Drosophila melanogaster: one gene and its partner. The protein of the gene in region 2 purifies or fractionates together with the protein of the main gene of each other region. This does not show direct contact. Each region holds a gene or a part of one and is shown on either strand. Other genes may lie near its edges.

Region 1 (4,962 bases), 4.9 Mb from region 2:
CGACGCTTTTCCGGAGCAGCCAACTTAAGAAGAAGCCGCTTGTTTCGTCGCTCCATTACCTCCTTCGAAATGCCAGCACCCGCCCAGGAACCCCATCCAGGCAGGGCGAGCTGAAGCTCAGTGTTCTTAAGCTCGGAGTCCTTGCTTTTGTCCCGATTAAAATCAGCTACAATGTCATCATCCTCGAAGGCTTGACTGATTGTCAACTGGCGTTCAGCAGCGGCGTCTTCCTCGTCGTATTCAGCTGCTTCATCGTCTATTAGAGCATCGTTAAAGCCTCCCGAGTTGCCCTTCTTTTGGGTAAACACCAAAGTTGTCACCTTGTTGGGATCTATGGTATCCACAGCTGGAATTTCCGTGCTTTCTGTGTTACCTTCAACGTGGGCAGGGATATTATTCTGTGAATTTTTATCCTCCTCGTAGTTAAGGGGCTCGTCAATCTCTATCTGTTGCTTTGTCTTTTTTAAAGCCAGACTTTTTAGGTTTTGCAAGACGTCCTTCTTTTTCGCCTTCTTTCCCTTGACAGGAACTTCTTTAAGTTTGTTTATCCGTTCCCTCAATTTCTCCATTTTCTTATTTAGTTTGGCTCTGATATGATCCTCGTGTTTCTCAAAAATGTCATCAATGGCTTTTGAATTCGGGCTTGCCTTGGCTTCTTTCTGATCAGTTGGGCAAATATCTTCCACCTCCCAGCCATTTTCTATCTTAACTTTCGATTTCTTAAGTTTCTTCTTAGCAGGTTTTACTTCTATTAATGGTTTCCGAATAGTTTCTTTCTCCTCCTGCTCGTCATTATCCTGGACTCCTTCCAAATCCCTACGATGCTCCTCCAGTAACTTTTCGTTTTTATTCCTTTTTGTCCAATATTGCCGCCAATTGGAACCCTCACTTTCACCATTTCCATTTTCCGTTTGCTCTGTAGCTTTTCTTTTTGTCCAAGGATTAAAGGGATCGTAGTCATTATCCTCCTCCTCGGGTAAAACTCTCTTCTTGGTGGTTTCATCTTCGCTGTCTGACACCTGCTTTTTCTGGGTCAGTTCCCTGCTAACAGCCAACTGCTCGGCCAGATCCTTTCGCACATCCTTGTCGTACTTGGCCCGTATCTGCAGATTCTTCGCCCAAGTACCGGTGTTCTTGTGCCGCAGGCTGGCACGCTCCTGCACTCGACTCTTTTCCAGGGCATTAAGCTTTTCCAGCGCCGCCTCTGGATCGGTTTTCTGCAGCAACTCGAACTCCTTCATCTGCTCCAACATTTTTTGTCTCTTCTGCAGCTTGTGGAACTTTTTCGATTTGATTTTGTTTTGCATGCGCGCCTTTGCTGACTTTTGAGACTCGCGCATCTTCAGGTAAGCTAGCTCCTTGCGACGGGCAAATAGTTCGTCCCTGGTAAGCTTCTTTTGTAGTAAAAGCCGCTCTTGCTTGGCCAGCTCCTTTTCATCCGTGGTATCCCCAATTTGCGCTTTGCGCAGTTCCCGTAGTTTACGGTTGTTAGCCTCGAGTTCTTGAGCAAGATTGGACTTGACCCGGGTGTTTAGAGGCCTGGCATTTGCCGCAGTATTTACGTAAACCGTTTCAGATGGTAGGGGGAAGATCTGTAATAAGTTTTGGAGATTATATGTGTATGTCACTGTTAGCATTGGCATTCATTCACCTGCGTCTCCGCAGATCTCTGTTGAGCCACCACAGCATCCCAACGACCGAGTTTCTTGGTAACTCCCTCGTAGCCAATGGTCCGTTTAATTCGATCCGCAGCTGGTTTCTCCAGCGGCTTCTGTAGCACCTTTTTGCTGCCATGGATGTTCTTGAGCTTCTTGCCCGTCTGACTGTGCTTGGTGGAGGTGCGTAGGATGTCTACCAGATCGTTCAGACCCACGGCTCTGGGGGCATGATCCGTTTCCGCTGACGAAACACCTTTTACCAGCTGGAACTCATCCTGGAGCGACTGCCGCTCGTCGCGCGTGGACTTCTGGATGTGCTGCACCTTGCCCAGACTGCCGATGGCCTGCAGCAGCTTCTTGTGTGCCTTTGGTTCGTAGTGCTCCTCGTCGTCACTCATTTTTGTCAGGAAAATATTTAAAATCAAATAACAATACAAAAATACTTCGCGCAGCACGTGTGCAGAATAACAGCTGAAGAGTTATCGATAAGTTTTGCGGCCCATCACAATTTCTACCTGTGCTCGATAGCATGAGTGTGGAAAATGGAGCTGCCTTCTTTTAAAAATTAACTTAAATATAATAACATTTACTACTCAATACATATATCTATGCATCAAAAATCAATTGATTTTTTTTTAACAATAAATGTACTTTTAACTCAGCGAAAACCCCCTTCGTAACGCCCTTGATGATTACTATCGATTGTCCCCCCACGAAAGACCGGCTATCGATGACAACGGGATGAAAATATTTTGTTTACGAATTCGACATTCGAATCGTCATGGCCGACACGAAATCCGGTAGTGGTCGGCATTCGGCTGCCGGGGGAAGTGGAAACGCCGTCCTGTCGCCCTTGGGGCAGGGTCCTGCGAACTTGGAGTGTAAGGACTTTCAGGAGTATCTGCGCACCCGCCAAACGCCAGAGTCGCTGGAGAAGCTGTACAACTATCCGCCCATTTGTTTGGCCGTTTTTCGGGAGCTTCCAGAGATAGCCCGGCAGTTTATCATAAGGATACTGTTCGTGGATCAGCCTGTGCCACAAGCGGTGGTCACATCATGGGGTGCCCAACGTTGTGCCAAGTATGACTGTATCCAATTGGATAAACAATATCATTGCAATGCATTACTTTTGCAGGGAGCAAGCCGAGGCAACCAGCTGCCTGACGGCTTTGAACGTCTGGCGGGTCACAGCCATTCCGGGTGGCCTTTCTGCGTGGGAGCTCTCGCCCACCTTCAAGAAAAGCGTACGCCAGGTGCTGCTGGGCGGCGGAAAACCTTGGCCTATGACCAACACGCTGGATAAGGACTCGAAGCCCAGGGACATTGCTTTTCTGGATACATACGCCATGTCCCGCTGGCGTTGCGTGTTGCACTACATGGTCGGCACCGGAAATCGCAATGGCACCGATGCGGAGGCCATTAGTCCGGACGCCGTTCGGATTCTGCTGCACGCCAATCTCATGAAACGTGATGAACGAGACGGTATCACAATAACCCGGCAGGGCTTTCAGTTCCTGCTGCTGGACACGCGAGCTCAGGTGTGGCATTTTATGCTACAGTACCTGGACACGTGCGAAGAAAGAGGAATCAGCCTGCCGGAATGCTTGTCCATGTTGTTCCAGCTCAGTTTTTCAACGCTGGGCAGGGATTACAGTTCCGAGGGCATGAACAGTCAGATGCTGACATTCCTGCAGCATCTACGGGAGTTTGGACTGGTCTTCCAACGTAAGCGTAAGGAGGGACGCTTCTATCCCACACGTTTGGCTCTGAATGTGACAAGCAAGGAGGCGGCTGCGACTGCATCTGTGGCCATGGATGAGGAGGCCACTCAGGACTGTGGCTACATTGTGGTGGAGACGAACTACCGAGTGTATGCCTACACTGATTCTCCGCTCCAGGTAGCCGTGTTAGGTCTGTTCACGGAGCTTCTCTACCGCTTTCCCAATCTCGTCGTGGGCGTGCTAACCCGCGATTCAGTGCGCCAGGCGTTGCGTGGCGGTATCACGGCAGAGCAGATTGTCTCGTATCTGGAGCAGTATGCGCATCCCAATATGCGCATGGTCGAGTCAGCCATTCACTCTAAATCCTGCCTGCCACCCACAGTCGTTGATCAAATTAAGCTGTGGGAATTAGAGCGAAATCGCTTCACCTACACCGAAGGCGTGCTGTACAATCAGTTCCTCTCGCATACAGATTTCGTAACGCTACGAGACTACGCCCAGTCGATCCACATGCTGGTGTGGCAAAATGAGCGAACTCGCACAATGGTGGTGCAAAAGAATGGCCACGACGATGTCAAGCGTTACTGGAAGAAGTACTCTAAGAGTGGTGTTTAGCCCGGTATTACGACCAATTATTGGGAAGTTATTTTAGAAGTAACATCTGTGCCCATTTTGTTACAAGCTAAAATTTTAAAATATGGTTTAATAAGGGAGTGTGGGATTACACATTTATCATCGACATTCAACATACAAGTGGAATAAAATTAAAATACACAAGTATCATACACATAAAAACAGAAAACCACCAAAGCTTTTCCTAGATTGTCCTTTAGGATGGGTCGACATGTAATATTGCTAAACGTAAAAAACAGTGAAGAGACAACTAACAAATGCATACAAAATAATTTTATTTACCCAATAAAATAGAAAATTTAGAATGTCCTATACGTTATACCTAAAGAAAGCATATCGAAACATCCTCGCCTACCTAAATGCGAGTGGAAAAGAAACTAGCTCAACCTAATACAAAATGGGACGCTGGGGCATGCAGAGATTGTAGTAGCTGCCCTTGGCCCAAAAGTCCATGCCCTTCCAGCCGCACCAACCTTTAATTTGAATGGTGGCCAAATCATCGGCACCTGTATAATGGGGATCCAAGATGAGGAACTTCACCTGACCCGTCTGCACGCAGTAGTCCACCCCGATAATGGTGTGGGCCAGAACACCGCCACCAATCATTACCGGTGTACCTTGCGTTTGGAAATGCATCGCCAGCTCGGAGGCAATAGTCGCCAGCTCAGCTCCAGAGGCTACGTGCAGAATTTTTGAGTCCACGTTAAGGAATCCCTGCAGACACATGCTGATTTCTGTGGAACCAATCCACTGAGAAGAACCCACGAATGCAGCAGGTTTGTCGTTGATCTTGTGAAGGTATTCCTGCACCTCCAGATGCGTCGGAATCGGTGCGTTCGTATAACCCTGCAGCACAAACCAGGAGCAGATCGTCTGCAGCGAGCGATATGCGCATCCCCATCCCTTGTCCTGCACCTGCTGTTGCAGGTAATGATAGTAATGGTAGTTAC
Region 2 (6,136 bases):
TCTTACATGCCTGGCAAATACCACTCCTGAGATAATTGCGAATAGCAGGGCGGATATGAAGTCCAGCAAGGCGATGCAATAGGCACAGGGCACTAAATATCCATCAGAATTTGACCCCATCGCCCAGGCTAAGATTCATCACATCACTGGCAATGTTGTCTACTAAATCAAAGCTATAATGATGATAAGCACGTACTTGGCGATTGGAGAAGGGGGTTACTCGGGTCTTGGCGGCCTGTTAATCAAAGCCGTTTGATTGCCAACATTCATGGACACAGCACAGTGGTATTCAAGCGTGGGAATGTAGGGAGACTCAGTGGCCAAAAGTACAATACACTACAGAAGTTTTCAATATATGCCAAGTTCAATGTTCCTGCGAATTATATTTAGTTTCATGAATTTTTTTGTAATTTCCGTTTTAATTTATACATCTAAATTACATGCATTTATAATCTCTTCATTCAAATACTGAGCTCTAAAAATAGCTGCCAAGTGTATTCCCAAAACATTCTAAACCAATGTGAACTGCTTTTTGCTGGCGAACTTCGTTCCTCATTTATGGCATTTGTTTTGTCAGCAGGTCCTGGAGATTGAATTGTCCTTTTTCCTGGTCCCTCGATGGCAACGTGACCACCTATCGTCCTCGCAGGCATCGGAAAATAGATGGAAAACTGTATAAGTCAATTATTATCATTGCTTATGGGGGGTCGGGAATTGATTTCCCGTAAATAGAAATCCAAATAACACATGAAGAAAACCATTTTTAATTTATTTTAGTAACTCCAAAGGGATTTTGAACCGTGTGTGGACATTGAACATAATGAAACGAACATAAATGATCATTATTAATCAAGCTTTTTGCTGTTTTTGTCCAAACTGGCATTTTATCCTTTAGAAGATCTTCCAGAAGTCCTGTATTTTGAACTTGGAGATTGGGTTTGAGTCTCATTATCTCTGTAATCTTCTGTTTTTCTATCTGAAATTTATGTATAGTATATCGTATAAATCTGTGCTTAAGCTATTCACCTTTAGTAGTCGTATCATAATTATCACCCTCCAAAAGGACGTAGGAATATAATCTCCTAAAGTATCTGAATACCAAGTATAAGCAAGTGACCTCGTAAACTGCAAAGATTTATAATTCAATGTCTAAGAATGCTATTAAATTAAAAACATACAGATTCCCAAATATGAAATGGTCCAGCGCTTTAAATGTTCTGCGTCGAAAATAGGAGATGAAGTAACATTCCATATTAAATAAATAATATCCGTAGCAGTTGCAAAGGCAGTGAACAGTAACCAAAATACGAGCAGAGTTGGTCGACTCTAATTAATACGAAACAGTTAAATATGTATATAGTTGGTAAATTTTTTTAATTCTTACTGTCAATAAACCAACAAACAGTCCACCAACGGTCGCAATCCAAGCTATTGTACTTAGAAAGGCCATTATGGTATACCAATTCGTCTAATGCAAAACAATAAATGGCTAAAAATGTTAAAGAACGTTCTTTTCAAATACAATACTTACGTGCAAGACCATGAGTGAAACTGAACTAAATGAAAAATACAATGAACGCACCAGTTCAAAAGCGCCAATAACAAAGCATGTCCTTAGGAGATTATCCGTAGGCAACTTTAGCTCTCCCGATTCAATAGACATTTTGTAAGAAATAAATTTATTCGATACACAAATGTTTGAAACAATCTAATAAATATATATTTTTTTAGTACGGAAATACAAAGCCAACTAAAGTTGAAAGATCTTATTTTTTGCCTTTCTTCTTTTTTGGGCTTTTAGACTTTTTCTTTTCGTTTTTTCCGCCACCTATATAAAATCGATTAGTAGTAAAATGTAATATTAGTTTAAAGCTATCTTACAACATAGGGTCCTCTTCTTTTTCGATTCATCCATAATCTGATAGTACCGATGTATGAAATATATGCAGGCGCTTTCAACAACTAAAATTATACTTAACATTAGAATTGTATTTGATTTTAAATTTAAATATCACTTACATATTCCAAGGAAAATTATTGAAAACTCATTAAGACGGTCCCAGTCCACAGTTATTGAGGTCGCAATGCCCCAAAGTAGAAATAGAATATCGGTTATAAAGCCGACTATGGAAAATATAAGCCAATACCTTACGAAAACTGGCTTGCGCTAATGTGTTTATAATTTTAGGAATTAATACCACTAAATAAATAAATTCAAACTCACCTTATAAAGGCCAACCATCAACAGGATGACCATTATAACCCAAAAAATGACACCCAAAAGCGCCAACATAGCAAACGCGCTGAACTATTATTGGTTTAATTTAATGATTATTAAGAATTTTGTGTTTTAATTAAACAATAGCTACCTGTTTAACCAGAAGAATCATTGCTTGAACTGTAAAATATAACGCATGCAGCAGATCGAAAATTGCTATGACGAAACATATCTTGGGCAGATTGGAATTCAAAGAATTCTGCTTCGACTTGCTATGACCGCTCTTTTTTTTCTCCTGTGACTTCTTTTTTGGCGGGTGTTTTTTCTTTTCGGTGCCCATTGTGAAGGCACAAGGTTAATTTTCCACATCCAATGATCATTAGATCAAGGCAAGTGGGATTGCATAGAGAAATCAGTGGATAAAAATTTTTTGAATTTCAGTTTGAATATCCAGTGATTCTAAAACCGTACACAGCTGACGCCACGCAGGGTGGCAAGGTGGTACTTCATAGTTATCGACCACCGATAAATCAGTGTTGCAAAAGAGACGAAAGCGGCTTTAGGCGCTCGTCTGTGTTTATACGTGATTTACCAACTATTTGCATTTCAAAATACAAAAACAGGATGCCCATTGTAGTAAAAACGTAAGTAGCTTAAAATGCAGTGAAAGTAACGATTTACATAGGGTAAAAACATGTGAAAACAAACAGCATTCTACGAGGCACTCAACTGCCGACGTTGCCATACGTGCTGTGTTACTTTAGTTGACTGAAATTTATCGAATTCCGTCGATATCTTTGTTTAATTTCTTGAGCTCTCGGATTTGTTGTGAAATTTTTGCTTGTGTTTTATTTAAATGGGACCGCCGAAAAAATCGAGAAAGGATCGCAGCGGTGGTGACAAGTTCGGTGAGTGTGGGGCACATGGAAAACCAATGAGCTTCGGTGTAATTTAAGAACTATTCCCAGGCAAAAAGCGGCGTGCCGAGGATGAGGCTTTCACCCAACTGGTGGACGACAATGATAGTTTGGATGCCACAGAATCGGAAGGAATTCCGGGTGCAGCGTCCAAGAATGCGGAGACCAATGACGAGCAAATCAATACGGATGAGTACGGCGCCAAGGATTACCGGTCGCAGATGCAACTGCGTCCGGATCACGGAAATCGACCACTTTGGGTTGCGCCCAATGGTCACGTCTTCCTGGAATCATTCTCGCCCGTCTATAAGCATGCCCACGATTTTCTTATCGCCATTTCGGAGCCCGTCTGCCGACCCGAACACATTCACGAGTACAAACTTACCGCATACAGTTTATATGCCGCCGTTTCGGTGGGACTGCAAACCCATGACATTGTGGAATACTTGAAGAGATTGAGCAAGACCAGCATTCCCGAAGGCATCCTTGAGTTTATACGACTCTGCACCCTATCCTATGGCAAGGTCAAGCTGGTCTTGAAGCATAACAAGTACTTTATCGAGTCACCACATCCTGAGGTGCTGCAAAAGTTACTTAAGGATCCAGTGATCCAGAAATGCCGCCTCATACGCAGCGAGGGAGAGGATTTCATTCAGGGAACCCTGGACGGCAAGGCTATTACTCAATTCGGGACCAAACTGCCGCCAGGAGCCACGGACAAGCCGACACCAGATCCTGCAGCAGCCGCAGGAGCTGATGGAACCACAGCAGTGCCAGAAGATATCACAGACTTCTACGAGAAGATCGACAAAGAGGAGGAGGACGAGGATGAGGCCAATCTGAAGACCGTGTCGTTTGAGGTGGCCCAGGAGAAGATCGAAGTGATTCAGAAACGATGCATCGAGATAGAGCATCCTCTATTGGCGGAGTACGATTTCCGCAACGATACCAACAATCCAGACATTAATATTGACCTCAAACCCGCTGCCGTTCTGCGTCCATATCAGGAGAAGAGTCTGCGCAAGATGTTTGGCAATGGAAGAGCCCGCTCTGGTGTTATTGTGCTTCCTTGTGGTGCAGGAAAATCCCTAGTGGGTGTCACAGCATGCTGCACCGTACGAAAGAGGGCACTAGTTCTGTGCAACAGTGGTGTTTCTGTGGAGCAGTGGAAGCAGCAGTTTAAGATGTGGTCCACAGCTGATGACAGCATGATTTGTAGATTCACCTCTGAAGCAAAAGACAAACCCATGGGCTGTGGAATTCTTGTGACCACATACTCTATGATAACGCACACGCAGAAGAGATCATGGGAAGCAGAGCAGACCATGCGTTGGCTGCAGGAGCAGGAATGGGGCATCATGGTGCTGGACGAGGTGCACACCATCCCAGCCAAAATGTTCCGTCGCGTGCTGACCATCGTTCAATCTCATTGCAAGCTGGGATTGACGGCCACACTACTGCGTGAAGATGACAAGATTGCCGATCTCAACTTCCTCATTGGACCCAAACTGTACGAGGCCAACTGGTTAGAGCTGCAAAAGAAGGGATATATTGCACGCGTGCAGTGCGCCGAGGTGTGGTGTCCCATGTCACCGGAGTTCTATCGCGAGTACCTGACCACCAAGACCTCCAAAAAGATGTTGCTCTATGTGATGAATCCCTCCAAGTTCCGCAGCTGCCAGTTTCTTATTAAATATCACGAGCAACGAGGCGACAAAACAATCGTCTTCTCAGATAATGTGTTTGCGCTAAAACACTATGCGATCAAGATGAACAAGCCTTTCATCTATGGTCCCACCTCGCAGAACGAACGTATCCAGATCCTCCAGAACTTTAAGTTTAACTCCAAGGTGAGTGCCAACTGTTCAAGAATTTTGGGAACATTTATTTAACAATACCTATTTCAGGTTAATACAATCTTCGTGTCCAAAGTGGCAGACACCAGTTTCGATTTGCCCGAGGCTAATGTGCTTATCCAGATCTCTTCGCATGGCGGCTCTCGTCGTCAGGAGGCCCAGCGTCTGGGTCGTATTCTGCGTGCTAAGAAGGGTGCCATTGCCGAGGAATACAACGCCTTCTTCTATACACTCGTCTCGCAGGATACCATGGAGATGAGCTACTCCCGCAAGCGACAGCGGTTCTTGGTCAACCAGGGCTATAGCTACAAGGTTATCACGCATCTCAAGGGCATGGACACGGACTCGGATTTGATGTACGGCACACAGGAGGAGCAGGGACAACTGCTGCAGTTGGTCCTATCCGCTTCCGATTTGGACTGCGAGGATGAGAAGCTGCCGGGCGAGCCGGGCTACCGTCCCAGTGGCTCGGGCGGCGCCGTCAGACGTGTCGGCGGACTGAGCTCCATGTCTGGCGGAGATGATGCCATCTACTACGAACATCGTAAAAAGAACATTGGCAGCGTGCATCCGCTCTTCAAAAAATTCAGAGGATAGACCTAAGAAAAGCACAAACCACTGTGAAGCATGAATAAAATTCTGAACAAACTTTAGAAACTTTCCGTGGAAACTGGGCTTACAATATTGTATTATTCACTTTTAAGTGCACCTTTACCACTGAAGTAACCCAAACCCATGATTTTATTTTAGACAAAACGCTGGCAAAGGCGATTGGGCCATTATAGAGCTGCAAGGCGACCTGGAGGTGCGGAGCAACCAGGATATGCACGGCCAGTTTATTGGCGATCTCTACTACAATAAATATGGCCAACCTGTGAGTTGTAATTGTAAAGTTATAATTTAACCAGCTCTTAAACAATCTGATTTTACTTATATCATAAGATTCTCATCATTGGACATCACATTCTTCAGGGACGTGAACAAAAGTTGGATAAACCATTTGCGGTGCTGGAAAAGTCCAAGACCAATGAGGGAGAACGACTCCTAGAAACGAGCATGGCCTCGCAGGATGTCAGTATGCTGAACGCCACCACGGGAGCGGAGCGCACAGTGCTGGATCATACGATCGCCCAGGAGCACAAGAG

Evidence for each region. The genes of interacting proteins can lie anywhere in the genome.
Region 1: the proteins of hay (region 2) and mrn purify together in Drosophila melanogaster (affinity purification with western blotting, with the first as the bait; one study listed by BioGRID). This does not show direct contact.

The regions. Positions count from the first base shown.
Region 1 is NT_037436.4:15,577,984-15,582,945, reverse strand, and holds mrn (marionette), read left to right. Parts: upstream 1-2,408; 5' UTR 2,409-2,439; coding exon 2,440-2,738; intron 2,739-2,793; coding exon 2,794-3,994; 3' UTR 3,995-4,177; downstream 4,178-4,962. Other genes in the region: CG12301 (uncharacterized protein), read right to left, coding at 1-1,592, 1,652-2,056; Ufsp2 (UFM1 specific peptidase 2), read right to left, coding at 4,400-4,962.
Region 2 is NT_037436.4:10,628,334-10,634,469, forward strand, and holds hay (haywire), read left to right. Parts: upstream 1-2,745; 5' UTR 2,746-2,842; coding exon of another isoform or gene 2,843-2,862; intron 2,863-3,008; exon of another isoform or gene 3,009-3,032; 5' UTR 3,033-3,074; coding exon 3,075-3,126; intron 3,127-3,186; coding exon 3,187-4,985; intron 4,986-5,042; coding exon 5,043-5,588; 3' UTR 5,589-5,636; downstream 5,637-6,136. Other genes in the region: CG14151 (uncharacterized protein), read right to left, coding at 7-120; CG42536 (uncharacterized protein), read right to left, coding at 885-976, 1,027-1,125, 1,179-1,326, 1,385-1,468, 1,532-1,663; CG42535 (uncharacterized protein), read right to left, coding at 1,767-1,828, 1,882-1,962, 2,020-2,167, 2,225-2,308, 2,370-2,558; CG34001 (uncharacterized protein), read left to right, coding at 2,843-2,862, 5,742-5,865, 5,934-6,136. UniProt on the Drosophila melanogaster protein: ATP-dependent 3'-5' DNA helicase/translocase; binds dsDNA rather than ssDNA, unzipping it in a translocase rather than classical helicase activity. Component of the general transcription and DNA repair factor IIH (TFIIH) core complex.